3 linked regions of the Arabidopsis thaliana genome follow. The protein of the gene in region 2 interacts with the protein of the main gene of each other region in a pairwise test. Each region holds a gene or a part of one and is shown on either strand. Other genes may lie near its edges.

Evidence for each region. Proteins that work in one complex are often made in the same cells at the same time.
Region 1: the proteins of TIP2;2 (region 2) and GONST1 interact in a protein complementation assay, tested with the Arabidopsis thaliana proteins (one large-scale study listed by BioGRID).
Region 3: the proteins of TIP2;2 (region 2) and UPS1 interact in a protein complementation assay, tested with the Arabidopsis thaliana proteins (one large-scale study listed by BioGRID).

Annotation. Positions count from the first base shown.
Region 1 is NC_003071.7:5,685,899-5,695,036, forward strand, and holds GONST1 (golgi nucleotide sugar transporter 1), read right to left. Parts: upstream 4,874-9,138; 5' UTR 4,633-4,873; intron 4,420-4,632; 5' UTR 4,406-4,419; coding exon 4,056-4,405; exon of another isoform or gene 3,812-4,055; coding exon of another isoform or gene 3,729-3,811; coding exon 3,599-3,728; intron 3,092-3,598; coding exon 2,993-3,091; intron 2,445-2,992; coding exon 2,290-2,444; intron 2,208-2,289; coding exon 2,091-2,207; coding exon of another isoform or gene 2,087-2,090; exon of another isoform or gene 1,938-2,086; coding exon 1,840-1,937; intron 1,739-1,839; coding exon 1,686-1,738; 3' UTR 1,418-1,685; downstream 1-1,417. Other genes in the region: AT2G13640 (Transcription factor IIS family protein), read right to left, coding at 238-1,392; AT2G13660 (uncharacterized protein), read right to left, coding at 6,394-6,719, 6,784-6,991. UniProt on the Arabidopsis thaliana protein: Involved in the import of GDP-mannose from the cytoplasm into the Golgi lumen. Required for the luminal synthesis of a variety of plant cell surface components. Is required for the correct mannosylation of the glycosylinositol phosphoceramides (GIPC).
Region 2 is NC_003075.7:9,695,574-9,703,167, forward strand, and holds TIP2;2 (tonoplast intrinsic protein 2;2), read left to right. Parts: upstream 1-3,366; 5' UTR 3,367-3,744; coding exon 3,745-4,122; intron 4,123-4,302; coding exon 4,303-4,677; 3' UTR 4,678-4,899; downstream 4,900-7,594. Other genes in the region: G2484-1 protein, read right to left, coding at 6-1,599; AT4G17350 (auxin canalization protein (DUF828)), read left to right, coding at 6,009-6,308, 6,515-6,908, 6,991-7,167, 7,268-7,317, 7,412-7,469, 7,547-7,594. UniProt on the Arabidopsis thaliana protein: Aquaporins facilitate the transport of water and small neutral solutes across cell membranes.
Region 3 is NC_003071.7:1,090,406-1,098,393, reverse strand, and holds UPS1 (ureide permease 1), read right to left. Parts: upstream 3,693-7,988; 5' UTR 3,266-3,692; coding exon 3,038-3,265; intron 2,959-3,037; coding exon 2,820-2,958; intron 2,732-2,819; coding exon 2,578-2,731; intron 2,506-2,577; coding exon 2,382-2,505; intron 2,292-2,381; coding exon 1,917-2,291; intron 1,836-1,916; coding exon 1,683-1,835; 3' UTR 1,418-1,682; downstream 1-1,417. Other genes in the region: UPS3 (ureide permease 3), read right to left, coding at 1-150, 242-353, 435-588, 665-803, 873-1,100; AT2G03580 (F-box family protein-like protein), read right to left, coding at 3,913-4,001, 4,107-4,218, 4,661-4,842, 5,079-5,130. UniProt on the Arabidopsis thaliana protein: Proton-coupled transporter that transports a wide spectrum of oxo derivatives of heterocyclic nitrogen compounds, including allantoin, uric acid and xanthine, but not adenine.

The DNA of each region.
Region 1 (9,138 bases), on a different chromosome or scaffold from region 2:
GACACTCATCATGATTGGTTCTCACCTTCTTTCTCTCTCGAACTCACTCGATCTCTCTCTTGTGTAACAAACAAAGCATGGAAAAGTAAAGACACAAAGAATATTACAAATTCAGGTTCCAATGTGGAACCCTACATAACATACGAGAAATTCACCAGTATACTTGCTCAGCACTCAACCATGCTTACAATGAGTTTATATCTTCCTCACACTTATATTCGATCTCAATAAAATGGTTCAGAACCTTTTGAATCCACAAGAGACTTTGATTTGTTCAAGCCATATGATCTTCACATAACTAAGTTTCCTCGTCTTTGATGAAGCCTTGGTAACAGACTTTTTACGTTCTTGTTCTCTGATCCTCTGTCTCCAAAGGTGAAGAAGGGCTGATGCAACATGGCAAATCTTGCGATCTTTATGTTTTGTAAGTCCCTCAAGCTTATCCATCATCCTCCTTGGTTCTTTTGGTTTTGGAGTAATGTTGATCTTCATCAATAACGAGAGAGCGTCAATGCAGCGAGACACCTCTGGTTTACCTGAGAGAACACCCTTAGCGTTGGCCACATCAGCAGCTTTCTTTGCTGCTTCGAACAACTTCACCATCTCATCCACTTTCTTCTTCTTCAGCTCCTTTTCTGTTTTAGTCTTCTTTATCAATGAACCATCTTCATGTGGCTTCTTCGTTGTAACATCCTCCAAAGAGACACGCCTTGTCTTCATGTTGAGCTGCTTTAGATTGGTCTTTGTCTCTTTCTTAAAATATTTCTCGACACAAGTCTCAGATCTATGATCCTCTTTCTGTTTCAAAGCCAAAAAGCTGTTCCTTGCTTTATTCTTCTCTGTTTCACGAGTTAATGATCTCTGATCTTCTTTCCTATTCAACTCCGAGAGTTTGATCGTTGTCTTACTCTCTACTGCTTCAACAGTCGTCTGAGATCTCTCGTCTTCTTTATTCTTCAACACCGAAAAGGCAGTGACTTGACGAGCCATAGTTCCCGGTTCTTCTTTCTTCTTCAACTCCGAACACATTTTTAGAACATGCTTCTTCATCTTCAGACGATCTTTGGTAAGAGCAGCTGTGAAAGAGTTGTCGCTTCCATGTGCGTAGAATGTCTTCAACCATGAATGAAACAAGGCTTGGGCTTCCTTACGGATTCTAGGGTTCCTATGACTTCTCAAAGTCTCCAGTTTAACTATTGATTCAGACAATCGTATATCCTTCACGGAAAGAGACAGAGACTTCAAGTGATTCAACACATCGATGCATCGCTCGACTTCGCATGGGTTCCGTGTATTGTAAGTAGCCTTAATTGCAGCAGCAGTCAAGTCGCATAAGTCAGATCTCTCCTTCGCAATTCTCACTCTCATCATCTTTCCGTCGTTCTTGATCATCAGGTGGCTAGGGTTTTCAGTTTATGTTGAAATCTCATACCATTGAATTTCTTTACTGGAAAATTGGTAAAAACGAAGAAACACATAAACCAACACTTCTCTTACCACTCAAGAATCGATACATTCATTAATATTTTACTAACATTATACAAGTAGAGTGGCGAAAGCTTTTACAAGAAACACATAACGTGCATAGAATTCTGAGGTTATAAACTCATTGCTCTGCTTTAATCAGCTTTTGCCATGTCCTATACTGATTGATGTAGTAAAATGTGTTGTAGATGGTTAGTATTTTAGGACTTCTCCCTCATTTTGGCTCTAGCAAATACAACTCCAGCGACAAGACCTGCAAATTAGGCCACCTCAGGTTTAATAATAATACACAACACAAGCGATATGTGTTCCTTCAAGAAGTTGGAAAAGGGAACTGATCGAGAGAACGCTTACCAAAGAGTATGCTTGCTGAGTTCTGCAAACTGGTCGGTACATTGAAAAGAACGATCCCCGCGATGGATAGAGGTATCTTGTTTAGAGATCCCACCAGGCTATGATTTTGAATAAAGCGAAAGATGTATCTAGTTAGGACTGAACCAACAAAGAAGCAAACATAGGAAAGGGATATATGGAGAAGGCTAGGGGACAGCAACACTCTCTTAAGCAAAGTTTTGAAATTGCTCTATCTCTCTCTAATTTGCTACCTGTATGTTGTTGCTCCAGTTTGATGAAGAAACCACATTGAAGTAAAGCTAATGGCAAGCCCTAGAAGTCCACTAAGTGTCATGACCATCCAGAAACTTGGTAATCGTAGAAGTGGCCTGCACAAATATAATACACCATTTTGTTTTCAGATGACACAAACCATTTTCCATTGACACAGAAATAAGGACAGGAACTCACGTTTGATAGAGATAATCCATCTCGTTGAAGAAATAAGAAAGAAGAAGCCCAAGTGGTAATGAAAGTGTGTTATTAAGCAAGACCATGGAGAACTCGTTCAAGTTTCCAGATTGAGTAACCTGCTTGGCCGTATCCATGGTCTTTCTCAAAGTCAGCTGCAAAACAACAAAATATAAGGCAAGTCAAAAGTGGTGGCAAATTTTATAAGAGTATAGTAGCCTAGCTAACAAGCCAAACACTTGGTTTTTGTTGACAGGATATAGGGATAAATTTATGGGAACCTAACAGTCTAACACTCTCGTTTTTTGACCCAGCAATGGAAAACCTAGTGAGAACTGAGAAGTTGATGGTGTCAATTTGCATTCTTTGCCCAAAGTCTTCTCTTTAACATGCTATTCCTACTTCTAACAACGAGTGAAGTACTCAGGTTACCAGTGACAATGGATTGCAAGCTATAAAATTTTCTAAGGTAACAGAATCTCGGTATCTCGTGAGCATCTTAAAACTCAAAAGCAAGCCAGTATCGTAATGATTATAGGGAAGGCTGTTTAGTTTATTGACTTAGTCTTAACCAAACAGCATGTAATACTCGACATGAAAGCATGGTTTTTAAGTGATCTCCTTTTCATATATGTGTTTATTGTTTCAAATGACTCCTAACATTTTGGGAAAAGAAAACACAAATGATCAAATGTTTACTCACCGAGTACGATGCAGTTAAGAAGCAATTAGCAATCTGCCAAGCATAGCCAACAGCATTGAATGATAGGTCTGTTATTCCTCCAGAAACTGCGGAAATTATCTGCAAATGAAGGACGAAAGAAGCACAGGTTAATCAAAACTTTATCCTCTACTTATTCAAGATCTATACAAAAACAAATAGAATATACATATAACAATGAGTAGCCGTGACAAAAAAACATGATTACATTTCCCTGGCAGACTAATTGTGGAAGCAGTTAAAAACATGTATCTCCAACAGTATTGAAAGGTTAGGCTATGCCACACCACTGAAAGCCGCTACGACAAGTGTAACTGTGTACGCACACAAAAGGGTGGATCACTTATCAATAAGAAGATATGCTTTAGACTTTATTGGTTAAGGTTGATGATCAGAGAGTGCTTTGAGAAAACAAGAGAAAACCAAATCCAAAACAGTATAGAATCGTTGTTTGACAAGGATATCTTTCAAAAACTCCAATCAAAATGCTATCTATGTGCAGCTTGAAATAGGTTCCTTGAGAATAGTTTTTTCTCAGGTACAATTTACAGAATCAGTTAGAAATACTTTTAAAGCAGACAAACATACCATTAAGAAGAGAGCAGCCCACACTCTGTTGTCATGTTGCTTGTTGAACAGATACATCTCACCAACTGCAGTTATCACATTAGTGACATTCTTCAGGACAGTGACCATTGCTACATTGATGTATTTCAAACTGTCAAAGAAAATGTAATTCAAATAGACAATCAAGTTCAATCTGCTCTTCAAACACCGCCTACATACACATATACGATACATATCTATATATCTCGACCTACTGTGAAGTAAATCCAAAATATCTATCTGTTTCACCTAAGTGTCTACACGTTATTTAATCCTCGATCTGCTGTAAAGATGATGTACAGATTCTTATAACTACCTTTAGTACTCCAAAAAGTTGACTTTACTAATTTAGTAATCTTATAGGCTTGAGAATTAAGAGAGCATCGATATATAATTCAACAAACCAACACAAAATAAAGGTGTAGAAACACATTCTTACCTAAACATGCTTGTGATAAGCATACCAACAAAGATGACATTCACTGGAAACCAGACCTTCATCAACCTCAAAGTAAGTGGTTCAGTAGTTATTAGACCCATTAAACTCAAACCAACCACAATGATCACCGAGACAAAGTTCTGGTATAACATAAGGAAGATCCCAGCATTGAAGTTGTAGCTGGAGAGAACAAACTTGTTGACAAGTATCATACTGCATGATGAAATGCAATAAGCTAAACCGGATAACAAAGCCCGGTTATGTATCTTTCTTGGAATTGGTTTATCTCCTCCGGATTTTACTGTCTTCCCATCTTCTAAATCAACTCCATCGTGTTCGTACAATTTCATTGCAAAGCTAAGACCTACCAAAGAAACTAACTTCTTTCAAGCTTATATAACTAGATCCATCATTCTTAACAATACACGCACAAAAAAAGTAACAGTTTTACATAAAAACCAATTCGGTTCCAATTCGCAGCTAAAATCAACTTAAGACGAGATTGGATCAAGCAGCAAAGTTGAGAGTAGCTACACAAGCGTTAATCGGAAGTTGTGTAGAGAATAACGAATTTTACCTCGAAGTTGTCCAAAAGCTCGCGAACTAAAGATTCAACTTCGGACGAGATCTAATTGATGACAAGTTACCGGAAAAAAAAAAAACTATGAATCGGAAGAAGAAGAAGAACATGAAACTTGCTCACGCGGAGGATCTTCGTCAGGTCGTGGTGGAGCTATCTGTGAAATGTTGTTTTGAAGAAACAATGGAAATTAGGAAACTGAAAAGACGAGGGAGAGAGATGGCATTGACCAGAAGAGAAAAAAAAAAAAAAAACTGACCAATTTTCGTTTCTTTCGTTTGTTTATTTATATTAAAATTAAGAGTTTCGTAAGTTAGAGGAAGTTCCATTATGTAAAACAAAATAAATTTTCTCAGTGGGTATTTCAAAATTGACAAACTCATCAACTACTCATGTCAAACATGTCTAAATGAATAAATAAAACTAGTATGTATTTCTTGAAATTAAAAATTATTCCAAAGCGAAAAATAGCCTTTTATCTATAAATACAGAATAATATTGATCATTTTTAAGACAATAAAACAGAATAATACTGATCATATACAAATAGGCCATATACAAATATGTCATAACTATACTAAAATTTAAGAAAATATTAGCTATTTAATACTATCAAACAAATCTCTTCATTGAGGTCATTCAACACAAACATTGTTATTTATAAAAAAAGAACACAAACTTTGTTTGGAGTAACTTTGACAGTTACACGTTAAATATGTTCTCTCCTAAGGTATTGAGCTTATGATGTTATTTTGTTAATTTTCATCATTTTATAGTTATTGGTTATTATATAAATCTCTTATATATTGAGAAGAAATAATAATATAAACATAAATTATCTAATTTAGTTATAATGGTTTGGTACCATATGGTCCAAATCACACAATATGTTGTACAATTTGCTTTTTTGGAAAAATGTCATTTAAATCAGTAGTTTACTATTTTTGTTGATTTAAACTATGAGTTCTGTATCTGGTAATTTAAATTCTCAATTTTTATGTTGATTTTCAATTTAATCACGAATTTTCGTTAATTAAGCAAATTGAGGCACAATTTTTTCTCTTTCGCACCATCAATCGACATAGAGATAAGAGATTATTTTGAATTTAAAGAAGAAGAAGGAATCAAAAAAAGGAAAGAATTCAAAAAAGAAAAGAGGGAAAAATGAAAATCGATTTTGGATTCTAGTGTTTATGATTTAAGAAATTTATAATGATGCGTCTTAATTAGTTTAATCAGTGAGAATTCGTATTTAAATTGATAGTCAGTGCAAAAGTGTACTACTGTTATGTGTCTCTAAACTTGGCAATTTGACACAAAATCTGAATGAATAAAAATAAAAGTTTGGCAATAATGGTCCATTTGCCTTTTTGCTTTGTACCATACCGTTGACCTTTCGGCTTAATTCTTTCCACCAGAAATTTTAGCCTATCTATTTTGACTCTTTGACACAGTCCACTTCTAAATCCACTAGCCATAGCCCAAGTTACTCGAGCACGTAAAATAAAATCCTTTAGGCCCAAAAGAACCAGTGTAGCCAAACGCATGACCATTTTGTTTTTTCCGTAACGCATGACAATTTTTATAACAAAAATATATTCACACTCTAATGTTAACGACACTCATCTTGTTCTTGAGAACAAATAGTTGAATATCATTTTCGTATTATAACATTTAATGAAAAGAGTTTTCTATCTCTTCTCTCTTTCATATCTTTTACAGAGAGGGAGCTCTGTTTTTCTTTTGTAATCTCCGTCTTCAATCAGAGCTTTTTGGTTTGTGTTTTAGATTTCCTGTTTTGATGCCGGTTTCTCTTTCCGACTTGTTCGGATTTACTTTCTTTCTTTCTCTTTTGGTTGCCTTTTGCAGGCTCAAATTAACTCTTCCAATTTCGGGAAGATGAAAATTCCAGAAGTCATCAAATGGATCCTTGTTCATTGAGTGCTTGATTCTTCTCCCAAGTGAAGGTAATTCCTTGCTCCGCCAAAAGGGCTTGTTTAGAGCATCGGTTCTCCTTGGTGGATTGATCAAGTTGATGCGGTTGATTGGGACGGAGTATGAAGAATTGGAGTCTTCGTCTTGTTCTGATGAATATTTCGGGCTAATCGGCTGAGGTTACAAATTCTCGTGATCAAGTTTAGGTCCAACCAATCTCTTCTGGTGATCTATGGCAAAAGGCGAGTAGGTACAATCGAAGGCAGAGATAGAGGTTTCTTGGAGGACTGAGTTGATCTGCCGGCTGGTGAAGGAAGTTTCCGGTGATGATGAGTCGGTGACAGCTGATGAAGGAAGTTTCCGGTGATGATGAGTCGGTGACGGCGAAACCTTTTTCTTCTCTCAACATCCCACATTGCATAACACGTATCTCTTTTTTATTTTTCTTATCTTGTGTTTTGCAATTAGTGGGCTAACTTTTGGCCATCTTCTGTACCGAATATCTGCCCATTTGGGCTTTTATAAAACATATTAGGCCGACAAAAAAGAAAAAAAGAAAAAAAAACACCACTTACTATTTTTACTTCTCACTTTATAAGCTTAGAAATAGTATTACCCTCCACATCTCTCTTTTGGTCTCCTTATTTTACACTTACAAGTTTGGCCATCACAAAGTCTGCCAACTTCAAAAAAAGTCTGGCAACTTGATTTCACCATTCGAATCCAGTAATATATTTTTTCCTTTGATCAAAATAAATCTTAAAAGAAAAGAAACAAATGGAGTTCCCTTCAACTTAAAATATTTCATGATAAATATATTACAACCAAAGCTTACATATGCACCATATTTTGTCCATGTAAGACCATCTCCAATAGAGAGAGCCTCCCTATGGGCTCTCTCTATTTTTTTAATACAATTTTATTCAAATTATGTTAAGAGAGCTTATGTTTTTTTTTTTTTTTTTTTTTATAGTCCAATGGTGGACTTTTTCAATGAAGTTCTCAGAAAAAAAAAAATGTGCTTAACATGAAATTTTACTAATTGATTCAAGCAATAACAGATCAACAATGATAGTAGGCTATGATTCTGGTACATGTGATTTTTGAATCTAAAACAGAGTGTGCTTTTCCATGGGATTAAACAATGATAGTAGGCTATAATTCTGGTACATGGGATTTAAACATAGGAATTTATGCATAACTCTACGTGTTAAGCATCTAAATCAAAGTTTTTTTTTTGTTCGTCTGTTCGTCACATATATAAACTTGTATAAATTTTCAAATCAATGAATGAATAAGATGTTAAAAAAAATGTTCGAATGGATAATGGTTTTCGTTAGAAAGAATAAACACAATCAAAGATGAGTCAGTTTAGAATTTAATTTCAGAAACTTTTAATACACATAGTTCTTCTAGATTGGATGTCACGCATTTTGAGAATTTCCTTAATTGTTGTTCATTCTTCAAACAATGTCTACTTGCTAATCCATGCATATACAAAATCGAGTATGCAATGATATGATACCAATGGTATCATACCATATAAAGCAATGTCTACAAAGATTCATACATACTAAAAACTAGGCCATGCATGCATGTTATGATACCATATAAATCAAACAAATTCATTTAACATTGTACTATTGGTAAAAGAAACCAAATTGAGAAATGGACCAAAACAATAAAAACAACAATAATTCGTTAATCCGTTCATAGTTACATTAAATATGTCACAGAAAAACTTGGAATATAACAGAAAATAAAGGAGAAAGACACGGACCTCCATTTGTGAGAGACACACACCTCCCAGTCACACAATCGCTATTTTATTAACCTCTCTTCTTTCGCCACGTGGCATCTCTCTCTAACTGAAAATATTCTCTCATTTCCCTCTTAAAACCGTAAAGCAACATTTTCTCCTCCATTTTTGATCTCTCTCTCTCTCCCTTCTTCTTCTTCTTCTTCTTCCTCTCGTCGCCATTTTTTTTTCCTCTGTATCTGTTCATGCCCGACGCCTAACTGAGTCACCTCGTCTCTGCTTCAGGTGAATCTTCGTCGCTACTTCTCCGTTTTTGTAAATCGTCTCGAAATTACACTCACTTTTGGTTTCGTTTTCTTCTAATCTTCAGGGAAGGGGATCTGAAAGCTCTTCGCATCTAACGTGAGTTCTTCCTTTCGTAGAATTTTTACGTTCGATACTGTATATTGAATCGATTCAGCTTCCGTGAGATTTTGTTTTGAAAAATGTGACGAGAAACAATGAATCGATGTTTGTTTTCGTTTCGTTTTCGATTTCTTCTCCATCGCTCGAGCTCCTGATTTTGATTTTTGTCCATGTTTATCGTCTGCACTGATTTCGAGGTCCTTTTGTTGTTCCGTACGATTTCGATTGAGTTTCCGTGAAATCTCTGTTCGATTGCTTCGCTCGAGCTCCATTTTGATTGTTCATGTTTGTTTGTTGCGGAATCGCAAGAGCTTGTAACCTAGTGTTGTTCTAATCAATCTGTTATATACCTAAATTCAAAAGTAGCATCTTAATCGCTTGACAAAAATTAGCTGTTTTTGGTG
Region 2 (7,594 bases):
TTTACCTGACTTGTCTGTTGGAATGCTGTCAGATTGAGATTCTGACTCCGCCAACTCTGAAGTAGAGCCTCCTGAAACATAGCCAACAGAACCAGACACAACGCTTTCAGATAGGATCTGAGAGTTCTTGACATCTTGATCTCTATCATTGGCATTGACAGGCAGTTCCATGCTTTGCTCGAGATTAGAAGTGCGAGCACTACCTTCATTGTCACTCTTCTTAGACACACCACCTTCTCTAGCTTCAACCATTGAGTCCATCGTTGAAATATAAACACTCTCTGAAGTTTCAAATACGTGTATCTGCGGATATGTCTCAGTCTCTATCTGAAAAGTAGACTCATGTTCACTTGTAATAACTTCCATATGTTGATGACTAAGCAACTCGGGCTTCTCAATGGAAACACTGTTTGTTATAGTTGTCAATTCCCCAGCAAGTTCCAAAGACGCTTCAACAGCTACGCTAGTATGAACAGTGCTGACAAGGAGATCTTGGCATTCGGTCCCAGAAACATCTTGTCCACCTACCTCAAGAGTAGAGGGAGCTTGGTCCCCTCTTTCTAGTACTGTGACATCAGATAGCTCTATCTCCTTCAAATCAGGCTTTGCAGTTTTGCCAATATTTTCAGCTTCCACTTTTTCAACTTCGGAAGCTGAGTCTATATGGCTATCAGAATGACCTTCAACCAAAATTGACCGTGCATCTGCAGTTAGATCATTGCGGTTATAACTACTTTGAATGTGGTCGCTGATAACATTTTCATCATTGGAAGTCTCTGGAAGTAAAGTGCTCTGATTATTCAACTCACCGCTACAAGTAATAATAGTCTGTACATTCCCATCGCTACAATCATCTTCCATCCTTGATTCTACATTGGCTTTCTCTTCTGTTTGGTCAAGAAGATTATCCGTCGTCTCAGTTCCTATTTTACCAAGATCAGTAGTATCTATAGCCTCTACCGTCGCGGTATTAGAAGTCAAGATGGAATTCTTTTCCTCCACAGATGCCTCTTCTACAGCCGTTGGTGAGTCATCTTTAACCAGAACCTGCTCCTGTCCATCATCTGTCTTTACCACAGAGGACTCTCCTGGAGTATCATCCACAGAGGGGTTGGGTTGTAAGTTCACCGTTTCCTCTTTGGAAAGACTTCTTTCATGGGATGTCTGACCAGGCTCTACTGTTTCCATTGTGCAGCCTAGTTCATGAGAAGTGTCAGATTTCTTGATAGTATCCTCTCTTACAATAACTTCGTCCTGTCCAACTGAATTCAAAAGCATTGCAACAGATTCCGACGAAGTAGCCTCAGACCAAACATTATTGTGCCTAGAAATGGCACAGGACTCCGTTGCACCTGAACTAAACACTATACCACTACTTCCACGAGAGAAATCCTCAATCCAGTTATTATCTTCGTTACCCTCAATACCAAGAAAAGCTTCAGATTCACCTAAACTATCAAACCTCAGATGCGTGTTGAGTGTATCATCAAAATCAAACTTTGGAAGAGCATAAGGCTGTAAAACTGGTGGAAATTTGTTGTTGGCTTCACCAGCTAAATGGAGATTCTGGTTTTGAAAGTCACTGTCATCATAATCCATGAGTTTATTCCTGAAATCAGAGACATATATAAACATCAAACAACCAAAAGAAACAAAAGCATAACACAACAACCGTGAAACATATTTAAAGAAGCGACTCTGGTCATTTTCTTGTCGAGTGGAGTAAAACAGTAGGAAAGCGAAAAGTACCGACACAAGAGTGTATGGAGACGCTACCTCCCTCCATTCGGTGACAAGAAAACCTGGCCGTCAGACCTCAACTGTTACCTAATCGCACGTTCATCTACTACTGCTCCACCAACAACAAAACCATACGCGTCAATTATAAAATCTCTTCCTTCTCAAAATTCAAGGGCACACGAAAACCTAAAAGAGTGAACTTTCTTAAAATGATAAATTGAAACGCTAGCGAAGAAGTTAAACTCACCGGAAAATTCAAACTGACGGAGGTGACCTAGGGTTCCGGCGAAGAAACGAGGTTTGGCGAGTGAAGCAGATTGGGAGAGAAATGCCCGATAAATTATATTCGCTTTCCTCGGCAAATGAAATGAGTCTGGTTTAAGTAAAGCCCAAAATTAAATAAATATTTGGAGAGAAAATAAAGATGGATACTGATGCCGCTTAATCCATAGTGACACGTGTCGAATTTTCTGGATCGTGTGGCTAATATTGAACTTAAACAAAAAGACGCGAAAGGTTTTTTACTTTTAAATTAACGTACGTTAAAATTTAGTGTAATTTACTGGCTAGAGTTCCGTTAAAAGAAAATTAAATGACCAAGAGGTAAAAGAAAACAACTTTTGTTTGACGTGACTGTGGTAAAAGTTAGAAGATTTATTGTTGAAATGACTATTGACTACTGATTAGTGTAATGAAGATGATTGGTTGGCTAAACAAAATGGAAAGTGTCTTAAGGATAAAATTAGAGAAGAGACATGTCACTCACTAACTAATAGATAGAGGCTTTTGTGTGTTAGGCAATTGACGGATTGGACTTTTGGACCATCAGATCAAAAGGAATCCATTGGGATATTTATATGGGCTTAGGCCCACTTTATAATTTTTTTCTGTTAGGTTTTTTTGGTATTTTGGTTTATGAATGATAGTATTTGTACCATAGATGGTTTGGTACGGTTTCGTATTGGTATTGGTTCGACTTCAAGTTTTAATCAAATGTTTATTTAACTTGAAAACAAAATTGGATTTAAAATCAGGTTTTTCTTTCTGTTTGTTTAGTTTGGATTCGAATTCAATATTTTGAATAGGAAAAATGAATTCATAATTTTAAAAAAAATATAGTTCATTTTCAGATCGATTATTTGAGTTTGGACGTTTGGTTCATAATATCAGTTTACTGGGATGGAATAATTTTCAACTTTTAAGCGGTAGTGGGTGGAAAAACATTTGTCAGGGATCGGTTTAATCTAGGATTGAGCATTCCACTTCGTTGTTCTATACTGCAAATTAAATTCATGATAATAAAAAACTATCCATAAACCATATACTAAAAATATTACTTTTAAAATTCATGGGGCGGAGAAAGTATTATAAACAACCATCCTCTCTGCAAATTTTTATTTAATGTCACCACTACTTTGGATCACTTTTCTAAGATCTTAAGTTTTCTGTTTGTTGCAATTTTATTACATGTATATGCCAATATCTCTTACACACCAACTCCAAACAAAGCAGCGGTGGTACATGAATTAACTCCTAATCCCTATTAATATTTTAGGCGTTTAGCACCTCCCAAACTAAAAAATACAAATTGTAACCAAAAAAAATATATATAGATATAAAAGAATACGACCATCTATCATAATTGGTGTGAGACAACATTAGTTTAAATGCAGGATATTAACATGACAACAGAACACTCTTATCTTCACATATTATGAAATACCTTATCCATCATTTTCATAGCATTATACCAATTGGTTGTCTTTAATCATCTTCGATGTCACTAACCCTCAAAATTCAAAAGAAAATGAATAGTCTAAATAATTGGCGGTTTGGGCGGCATCCAATTGTGACAGGCCACGTAGAGTGGGACCAACAACTTCATTACCTCGTTTGGCTCTTTGCTATATATAAAGTCAAGCATTAGTATGCCCAAAACCACACAAATAGAAATAACTTGTAATCAACCAAAGTCGAAAAACAGAGTTATTTTGTCGGATCAAAATGGTGAAGATTGAGATAGGAAGTGTGGGTGACTCCTTTAGTGTAGCATCTCTTAAGGCTTACTTGTCTGAATTTATCGCAACTCTTCTCTTTGTGTTTGCTGGCGTTGGCTCTGCTCTTGCTTTTGCCAAGCTCACATCCGATGCAGCCTTGGACCCCGCTGGTCTTGTCGCTGTCGCTGTGGCTCACGCCTTTGCCCTTTTCGTTGGTGTTTCCATAGCCGCCAACATCTCCGGCGGACACCTTAACCCCGCCGTGACACTCGGTCTCGCCGTCGGTGGCAACATCACAGTAATAACCGGTTTCTTTTACTGGATTGCTCAATGCCTTGGCTCCATCGTCGCGTGTCTCCTCCTCGTCTTCGTTACCAATGGCGAGGTACACAAAAACATTCGTAATTTATTCAATACTATTTATTTAAGTCATGTGTTATTTCTGATTATGACTGTTTTGTCCAAACGACCGTGACTAAAAAATGTTATGCCGGTCTTAAGATCCAGTTTGATTTTAAAAGGTATATGGATTAACCGAGAATGTGTTTATTTCCCGGTTATGCAGAGCGTACCGACTCATGGAGTAGCGGCCGGTTTAGGAGCTATTGAAGGAGTAGTGATGGAGATTGTGGTGACCTTTGCTCTGGTCTACACAGTCTACGCCACAGCGGCTGATCCAAAGAAAGGTTCACTCGGGACCATTGCTCCAATTGCTATCGGTTTCATCGTTGGTGCCAACATCCTCGCAGCGGGTCCCTTTAGCGGTGGTTCCATGAACCCGGCCAGGTCATTTGGACCAGCTGTTGTCAGTGGTGACTTCTCTCAGATATGGATCTACTGGGTGGGTCCACTAGTCGGTGGTGCACTTGCTGGACTCATCTACGGAGACGTCTTCATCGGATCCTACGCTCCAGCTCCCACCACAGAAAGCTACCCTTGATCAATCCTATAGCGTTTTAATTTGCTTGGCTTGCTTTTTGTTGTATGAAAATGTTTGGTCCTCGTTTCTTCCAAAAATGAATGATTGAATGTGGAGAAAAAGATCAAAGTTGTACTTTGTGTTGGTTATAAATAAGAATTGTATATTTTCAAATTTTATATCTCTGCCTTGTACTTTCTTGCATGTGTTAATGGCTAAAAATAACCGGTTTTAACTGTCCAATTAAACACTTCCAACCTTTTGATATTAAAATCACATCACACATGTATATAAGAAAATATGTTTTGGGGAATCTTTCAAATATATGCTTGAAAGGTTGACAAAAAAATCCATAGATTCAAGATATCCCAAATTGCTCAATTTTTTGTTTTGTGGAAAGGCCAATATTTCCTTATCCAAGGCCTAATACTGAAAAGGGCCCATTAGAATCCAATTAAAATTCATAAACTCAAGCTAATACACAAATTGGTCTTATTGGCTGGAGACACTACTATTGTTTAAACAACCGTTTAAGAGTACTCAACTTAAGTGATACAAATAGTAATGCTAGAAAGACATTTTAAAAATTCGTTATCCCGTGAAACCAAACCAAACGATGAAACGACAGAGTACATTAATAGAAAAACGAAATGGTCTCTTTACGTATGGTTTATTATTTGAAGGAAGCTGGTCGGTTGTGGGGGAATGAATCGTGTGAGAGCCGTCCGCTCAAAAGACAAAATGCTCTTAAACCAATGCCTTTGTCGTCTCTTTGTGGTTTCACAAACCGTCCCACCAGATTAAGATATTACCTGAATTCATGGACATTGTTCTTAACCATAACATTATCCTCTCTTTCTCCACACCTATATAAAGAACATGGAGACGAGTTCTTAAAATTTGCAAGACTCTTACGGTAAATTAAACACTTATCCAGATTTTTATTGTAATCTATATTATTGATTAGTCTGCACGTACTTTTGGGACTCGTGGTTTGAATAATTCTCTTTTCTCATAGAAAAAGAAGAAAAAAGATTCTCTTATTGTATAAGTTAGGTTTATGCTCTTCCTCTTCTCTTCCACCTGAGTCAACATCATCCTTTTCATCTTCAAAAGCTTTTTCCTTTTAAAATCATTTTCTTTATATTTTTCTTTTTCTCAGTTTTACAGTTCATTTTTTTCAAGTTTTAATTCTGAAACTCAGAGCTGGTTCTCTGTTTTGATCACATGGTTTTGTTCAGAACATAACTCTTGTTCCACCAGGACAATAAATACCATCTTCTGATCACACGTCATCTTTCCATATTCAAGAAAACTTCATTTTCCATCGGAAGATTCGTTTAGGAGAGAAAATGGAAAGTGGCTTTTATTCAGATTGGAAAGATACTTCTTCTTCTTCGTTCTTTGGATCAGAGAATATGGAGGAAGAGTTGGAAGATGGAGTTCTTAGAGCTGAAGAGCTTTTCTCATCGATTCCTCAACCTCAGACACCTAAAGAGCCAATGGAGTTTCTGTCTAGATCCTGGAGTCTCTCTACTTCTGAAATCTCCAAAGCACTTGCTCTCAAACATAGACAACAACAAGATCAGTTTTGTGTTGGCCAGAACAGTCCTCCTGTTTTGTTCCCTGATGCTGCTGCAGATCCACTCGTGGTACGATCCTTTTATCCCTTTTCCAAATTCCAATGAAACCCTTTTTCCAACTATTTCTTAGAATTATGATGAGCCTTAAAAGTCAGAGACTTTTCAATTGTATATGATTGCCATTGCACCAGTTCCTAACATAGTTCTTGGGAATTGGAATGGATAATAATAGTGGACTCTTTTCATATTTTACAACTTTGGGATTTTGATTCTAGGCTGGGAAGATCATGAACTCTGTTGGCACACGTAGAGCAGGGACATTGTCTAAATGGTTTCACCACAACAAGGAACACAGCACCAGCAGTACTACTACCAATCTCAAGAAGAAAGATAAAGTGCGTGTGGAGAACGCCCACGTGCATTCTGCCGTCTCTATAGCGGCTCTGGCTGCAGGTTTAGCCTCTGTGACATCTGCTAGCAATTGCAAAGGGTCAGGCTCCAAGATGGCACTGGCTTTAGCCTCAGCCACTGAACTGTTGGCCTCACACTGTGTTGAGATGGCTGAGCGAGCCGGTGCTGACCATGCACGTGTTACTTCCACGGTTAGATCTTCTGTGGATATCCACAGCCCCGGTGATCTCATGACTCTAACAGCCGCTGCTGCAACTGGTAAGGCTTTGTTGCAGCTTCACAAGGCTTTTTCAGTTTCGTTGATATGCATTTGATCTGACTTTGTTTAAACTGACACTAGCTTTGAGAGGAGAAGCGGCTCTGAAGGCGAGGCAGCCAAAGGAAGCAAGGAAAAATGCAGCTATTACCCCTTTTGAGAGAAGTTTCTCTGATTCTCATTGGCATGCAAATTTTCAGTATAGATTGGAAGAACCAAATCTTCCATTTGAAGGCGAACTGATGCAATGTGCACGAAATGGTAATTGTCTTCTGTCACCGAGTCTGATCACTTTAAGAGTTCACTGGATCTGAGATAAGACAGAGAGCTTAACTCTTCTTCCTTGTGCTTTAACTTGCAGGAGTGCAGCGAACTAAGCGTGTCTGTGTCTATATCAACAAGAAGTCTCAGGTATAGCAGATTTGATTAGTATCTATATATAACACATAACACAACTCAGTTCACTTTTGATTCAATGCTTATTATGCTACTTATGATTTTGCAGGTAATGATCAAACTCAAAAGCAAACATGTTGGAGGGGCATTCTCTAAGAAAATCAAATGTAAGCATTTACTAATCTTTCAGTTTGGATAAATTACCTGAAAGACGACACTCTGAACTTGTTCTTCCTTTCTGAAGGCGTTGTCTATGGAGTCTGCGATGAGAAATCAGCTTGGCCTTACAGGA
Region 3 (7,988 bases), on a different chromosome or scaffold from region 2:
CACATTGAGTTTTGGAACTCCATGTTTCAAAGTGTGCCAACTCCATGTTTCAAAGTGTGCCATTGATCGTTTGTCGCTAAGCTTACTGCAGGTGAGATTAGAGAGAAACAGATACCGGCAAAGAATGTTATCGCCAGTCCAATTATTGTGCTTTTCCCAAAAACCTGTCAACGCAAATCTTGAGTATCAGTGAATATCAGTTATTTCTGTTTAGGAAAATGCTGTGTGTATTATTATTAACCTTTATGGCTCTTTGTTTCTCAACCTCAATAAGAAAATCTGCAGTCCCTACTTTTGCTTTTCCTTCTTTTATAGAACTTGTTTCCATTTGGAAGGAAGAAGTAGTCTCTAAACTGAAACAAGATCAGATTAGGTTAAAAACCAAACCAAAAGAAAACAAAACAAAGACCTAGTATAGTGAATCTTTTTTTAACCTTTTGAATCCTTGGAGTTTGGATTTGTTATCAGCTGCATTTGATTTATGAACAGCAGAACCGAAACAAACAGCGATCAAGAAACAAGCGACCCCCGGGAAAAGGACCTCAGCTCTGTTGATTCTATCATCCAAGAAATAGTTCAAAGTTGTGCCTGTTGTTGAAAACAAAAGAGTTAATAAGAACAGAGGAAAAAAATCAGTTAAGAGTAGTTGAAGAGAAGAGTTTACCGATAACAACGGCGATACTAGCTGTGATGACTTCAGTGACAGATAACCCAACAAAAGCCCAAGCATATTGTGTTGCTAAGGTCCCAAGGCTAAGAAATATTCCTCCAGCCATTGCAAACATCACAGACGGCCAATTATCCTGTGACAAAAAAACTTTGCATTTCAAAAACCAACAACAAATATGTGTATGAATGTATGTGTAACTGACTTGAGAAAGCTGTGTGGTGAAATTTGGTCTGCTTGGACTTATTTCGCCTAGTGTAAACGCTATGATAACTGCAGCTAACAGGTTTGTCAGTGTGTAGTCAAGATAAGTATGTTGAGGAAGTCTACCGCGTCTTTCGGTTAGAGTCATGATTGCTGGCCATGTCCCTAAGAAGAGCAGAGCCAAGAGCATACAAGTGATTGTTCCTCCTTTGCTCTCTATCACATACATTTTATAAAATCACCAAATCCCACTGCATCAAAGTAAAGAAGTGAGATTCTTCTGTTATCATATCATTGATCTCTCGTGATAAAAATGAAGCTAGTTGTCTTAAGAAAGGTTCTTTAGAACATTAACACAAGACACATGCTGATACAAGAAGATCTCTATAAAACTCAAACCTTATATTCCATTAAATTTCCCTATTGACTAGGTTTCTTGAAAGAGATTACCTTATTAAAGCTTTTGTCTTAACTTTGACTTTGAGGAAGACCAGAGAACAACAGATACAGAAGAAAAAAAACTTAGTCTCTCATTTGATTGGCAGATCCAGATTCAGGAAGAAGTTAGTTTCCCATTTTCTATAAAATAAATAAATCTCAAGTTGCCATAAACTATAGTTTTCTTTCTCTGATGTGTAAACAAAGACAATACAACCAATTGTTGTTAGCAAAGCCCTAAGACAGAAACCAACAAAGAAAACACTTTGGTTAAATATAAACAAAGACTTGAACATGTTGCAGCCATTGGTGAAGTAACTCTTCCTTCAATGGATCCTTTTAGCAGTTTAACTTGAAGAAGTTTCAGTGAATTTCATTTTCTATGTCCCGAGGAAGCCATAAGAACCGCGACAGCGACTATGAACATAAGAAGCATACTGATGAGAAGTGTATATGTTTTTCTTGATGATCTTCTATATTCTCCAAACAACAATATCCCCCAAAATGTACTCACAAGTGGAAGTGCCTGAAACATATTCAAATCATAATAAGTAAAACATATTTCACTCTTAAATCATGGAACAGAGGATTTGTTTATTGTCTAAACCTGAACAGCGTCTGCAGCTGCATAGCCTGCGGCTTGACCACCCATGAACTGAAGACCATTGCCAAATCCACATAGAAATCCAGCCAAGAAAGACCAGCCTCGACCGTTCCAGTCATTCAAATAAGCCTTGAAAGAAGATCTTGGGAGACCAAGTATAGGCCAATAGAGAAATCTGATGTTAAGTATCAGAGCAACTACAAATGCAGAGATGGAGAAGTAGAAGAAGGCAGTGTACACATTTAGTTTTGGAACTCCATGTTTTAATGTGTGCCATTGATCGTTTGTTGCTAAGTTGAATGCAGGTGAGAACAGAGAAAAGCAGATACCGGCAAAGAAAGTTATCACCAATCCGATTATTGTGCTTTTGCCAAAGACCTGTCCTCAATGCCAATCATGAATCTTCAGAGAACATATATACATATCAGTTATATCTGTTAGGGTAAAGGAAGAGTAGTATGTTTCAACCTTTATAGCTCTTTGCTTCTCAAGCTCTATGAGAAAAGCTGCAGTCCCTTCTTTCGCTTTCCCTTTTGTTAACCCGTTGCTTGCAGAAATTGTTTCCATTTCGAAGGAAGAAGTAGTCTCTAAACTGAAACAAGATCAAGATTAGTACCAAACCAAACCAAACGGAAACAACAATAGATATGAATCTTTTTCAAACCTTTTGAAATTTTGGAGTTTGGTTTTGTTATCAGCAGCATTGGATTTATGAACAGCGGAACCGAAACAAACAGCGATCAAGAAACAAGCGACCCCCGGGAAAAGGACCTCAGCTCTGTTGATTCTATCATCCAAGAAATAGTTCAAAGTTGTGCCTGTACTAGAAAACAGAAATGGTCATAAGAACAGAGAAGAAACAGAGGAAAAAATCAGTTAAGAGTAGTTGAAGAAAGAAGAGTGTACCGATAACAACAGTGATACTAGCTGTGATGACTTCAGTAACTGATAAACCAACATAAGCCCAAGCATATTGTGTTGCTAAGTTTCCAAGGCTAAGAACTATTCCTCCAGCCATTGCAAACATCACTGACTGCCAATTATCCTATGATAAAAAAAAAAACCGCGGTTATACAATAGTTTTCGACAAGATGTCTAAGGAGAAGTAAGAAGATGTGACTGACTTGAGAGAGCTGTGTAAAGAAATTTGGTCTGCTCGGACCTATTTCTCCTAGTGTCAACGCTATGATCACTGCAGCTAACAGATTTGTGAGTGTGTAGTCAAGATAAGTGTGTTGAGGAAGTCGACCGCGTCTTTCGGTTAGAGTCATGATTGCTGGCCATGTCCCTAAGAAGAGAAGAGCCAAGAGCATACATGCAATTGCTCCTCCTTTGCTCTCTATCATATACATCTTTCTATCTCTCTTTTATATACTTATAAAAATCATGAAAAAAACTCTGCACCAAACAAGATTCTTTTGGTTATCTGATCTTCGACACACATTAATGATCGATCAAACTCAAATTGAGGATTGTGATCTTTAGACAACCGCAAAGGCAAGGCAAGAGTCAAAATCTATTGGGTTTCTAGAGAAGCAATGAAGAACAGAGAGAGTACTAAAAAGTAAACATCTTTGACTAATAATGAGTTTCTTGAAAGAGATTATTATTACCTTTTGGAAGCTTCTGTTCTAACTCTAACAAAGAACAAAGACAGAACAAGAGAGAACAACTTTTGATTCTTCCCTTTGGGGAGATTCAGAATAATTGCTAGTGGCTCTCATATTATTGGCAGATTCGGATTCCATGAGATATGACACCTTCCTCGATATATTTTTCAAGATAATTTTGTAGTATAAAATAAATAAAATGAATCTCGAGTTGCGTTCCGATTAGGTTCCTAGTTGATCATAAGTCAACGGCTGACACAATCTTGTCTTAAAATCATTATAAAAAAAAAAATTCAAAACAAAAAGGTGAAGTAAAAGTATGTAACAATAATCAATAATCTTGATGTAGTGGCGCAAAGTATACTGATAAAGCTTGCTGTTCTTGTAAGCTAAATCCCCAAACATCGGAGCTGATGTCCCATACTTATCATTCCAGTTCCACCAAGAATCATCTCCTTTCTTGTATGTGAACAAATAACTGTTGTGTAAAGTCCAAGCAATTAAATAATCCACTGTCCTCTCATCTATCCAAGACCAACTGATCTTGTTATTCCCAACATGTGTTTGGACACGCAATACTTACCAAAAGGATGGAGGACGAACCATCCCCACTTGCCTTGTCTATTATAGTATCTGCTTGGCTCGAATCTTATTTTTCCACCGCGAACTGACGACTCCATTGACGGAAGATTGATCTTTAATAAGATTCGAATCAAGACGAGACTTGTTAAAGTTTCAAATCCTTAAACTCTAGAAACTCTAGATCGTAATGATAGAATCGATTACGTAACTACAAAGAGAAGATAAGAATCGTTATGTTTAGATCAACATAGATATAAGCAACCGATGACCAAGAGATCAACATTGATCTCTTCCTCTGGCACATCACAAGGCCAATTCTCTCTCGAGAAATATCACAACATAAAAAGCATAAAATCCCCAGATAAGAACAGAGTCAGTATTTATAGAAGAAGAGTTTCAAGGCCTCTAACTGGAAAGAGTATTTGCCCTCATTTGTTAAGTCAACTCAGTCAACACAGTAGTTGACTTCCTCTTTTCTCTTCTCAGCTTCGCTTAGCCCAATCTTCTCAGCTTCTTTCTCTAGTAGTCGACCTTATAAACCTATCAAGAATCTACCATCAAGAGCCAGTTTCCGGAGCTAGCCATATAATAGCTATTGTCAGAGAGTCCGAGGAGTTTTGTCCCGTAAATCTTGTCTTCACCGGGATCAAACAAACTGGAAGAATCATCATCGTAGTATATGATCCGCCATGGATACAGAGGCCGTTTCACGCATGTTTTCCAAACGAAATACCAATCTGAGCAAACGAGTTTTGCTTGGTGGTAGTCAATAGAGTTCAAGCTTTCAATGATTTTTCGCAAAAGGTCAAGACAAAGCTTGGACCAGTCGTGATGATGAGATACTTTTGGTCAGTTTTCTTCTCTCATCAAATCGTTACGCGCATCCACCTTGATGATCTTTAGGTAAATAAAGATCAATATTTTCATGGTCTTTTGCAAAGATCGCGCGGGACAAATTAAAGTTTGGACCAACCGTGATTATCAAACACTTTTGGTCTTTTCTCTTCTCTCATCGACATATCCATGTCTGCGCCTACTTGCCCTATACGCTAAAGTAACTAAGGTTTTGTTTTAGGGATTAGAACGAACGCCTATTAAGTTTAACTATTTTTATACATTTACATATAAGTAAGGTTCCCTCAAACTCATACCGTAAAAAACTGACAAGTGGTGTTTGATTCATTTGACATATGTCATTCCTCTCAAATTTAAATATACTATTTTTATATTTACTCAATCTAATAATAGTTTTATACTAAACAAATCTATTGAATTATTCTAGTGAATAACTTCCCTGCATATTAGATCTTCTCGATAGCCAGATAGTTGGTGGTCGTATATCAGCTAAAGAGCTTACTTTTGTTGTTGTCTTAATATTTTTGCAATGCTCTTTTTACAATGAGAAATTCCTAAAAATAGCATTAAAACTGGTTTTATGGACAATAATAGCACACATTCCATAAACTTTCAAAAATAGCACTACTTGACTTATTATGAAGTTTTTTTCTAAAAGTATTATCACTAATTTATTTTTTGAATAATATCATAATTTTTATATAAAATCTATTCAACCAAAATAAATTAGAAATAAATTAAAATATTATATTTGGATTCTCTATTTTCAATTTAGGGTATATATTTCAACCATTTAAAAACAAATTGATTCATTTTAATATTAGTTTATGGTATTATATTTGAGTTCCCTATTTCTAATTTAGGGTATATATTTTCACCATTTAAAGGAGATTTTTCATTTTAATATTAGTTTGTGGTATTATATTTGGGTTATCTATTTCTAATTTAGGATATATATTTCTACAATTGTTTTATTCAATTTAATATTAGATTAGTGTTTGCTCTCATTTTTATTTTCAATCTTATATTTTAGTTAAGTTTAATTGAACTTTATCGTGCTATTTGTGAAATCTCAGAAATATTGTGCTAATTTTGGAAAAAAACTCTTTTTTGGTGCTATTTTTGTCAATTGTCTTTTTATAATTAACTAGATAAGGCCCGCCTAAATAGGCGGGTGAGAAAAAAAAAATGCTAATTTTAATTTATGATATATGAGCTCTAAATCGTAGTTAACACACTTTTTATATTTAATATAATATTTAAAAGAAAAAACAAATTTCAATCTTACACATTCTATTTTGCTAATTTTAACTAAAGAAAATATTTATTTTAGGATAGGTGTATCATGAATACGAACATCAGATTTCTCAAAAAATATTATATAGCCAATTACATCGGTATGACAAAACAACATTAAATTTAAATAAATCTATACTTACTTAAAATTTGAAATTTGAAATTCAGTATATGTACCTATAACTGTTGTGTCATATCTTACAATTTTGCAAAATCCTTGTTTTGTTTTGCTAATTTTAACTAAAGAAAATATTTATTTTATGATAGATGTATCATGAATACGAACATCAGATTTATCAAAAATATTTGTTTAATATATAAATTTATAAACATTAAACAACTTATTGAAATTTGAAATTTGAAATTTGAAATTCAGTATATGTATTGTCTAATTGTTGTGTCATATCTTTCCATTTTGCAAAATCCTTGTTTTGATTACACATTTGTTTATAAATTTATCTTCTTTACTTTTGAATCTTTTTTATTATTTAATTATAAGAGACATAGTTTTTTGGGAAATTCTTCAAAATAGCACTAAAACAAGTTTTATGGACAATAATAGCACACACTCCATAAACTTCCAAAAATAGCACTAATTGACTTACTCTAAAGTTTTTGTTCTAAAAATATTATCACTAATTTACTTTTTGAGAAATTCCCACAAATAGCACACTTTTAAGTTTTTTGAAAAAAATAGCATTAAAAAGTTTTTTAGACATAAATAGCACTCAAATAATTATTTGAGAAATTCTTAAAAGTAACACAAAAACAAGTTTTATGGACAATAATAATACCACAATTTTATATAAAAATATATTCAACCAAAATAAATTAGAAATAAATTTAAAATATTATATTTGGGTTCTCTATTTCTAATTTAGGGTATATATTTCCAACTATTTAAAAGAAATTTTGATTCATTTTAATATTAGTTTATGGTATTATATATGGGTTTCCTATTTTCAATTTAGGGTTTATATTTTCAATCATTTTAAAGAGATTTTTCATTTTAAATTAGTTTGTAGTATTATATTTGGGTTTTTTATTTCCAATTTAGGGTATATATTTTCACTATTTAAAAGTTTTTTGATTCAATTTAATATCAGTGTTTGCTCTCATTTTTATTTGGGGGGGGGGGGGGAATTGATACAAATGGTAGTAAAAAAACTTTATTATTTAATTAATTTATAGAGAATTAAAAACTTTTATATGCTTTTTTTGGAAGTTTCAAAAGAAAGTGTCATTTTTGGAATAATAAAGTTTTTTTGTGCCATTTGTGTCAATCTCCCTTTATTTTTTCAATAATACCACAATTTTTATATAAAATATATTCAACCTAAATAATTAAAAATAAATTGAAAATATTATATTTGGGTTCCCTATTTCTACTTTAGGGTATATATTTTCACCATTTAAAAGAGAATTTTCATTTTAGTATTAGTTTGTGGTATTATATTTGGGTTCTCTATTTCCAATTTAGGGTATATATTTCCATTATTTTTAAAAACTTTTGATTCAATTTAATATTAGATTAGTGTTTGCTCTCATTTTTATTATTTTTCTTTTATTATTTAGTTAAGTTTAATTGAATTTATAGTACTATTTGTAAACTTTTAAAAATGTTGTGCTAATTTTGGAAGAAAAACTTCTTTTGGTGCTATTTTTGTCAATTGCCCTAGTTTTTTTTATATTTATCTTCTTTACTTTTTAAAAATAAATTTACTATTTTAAA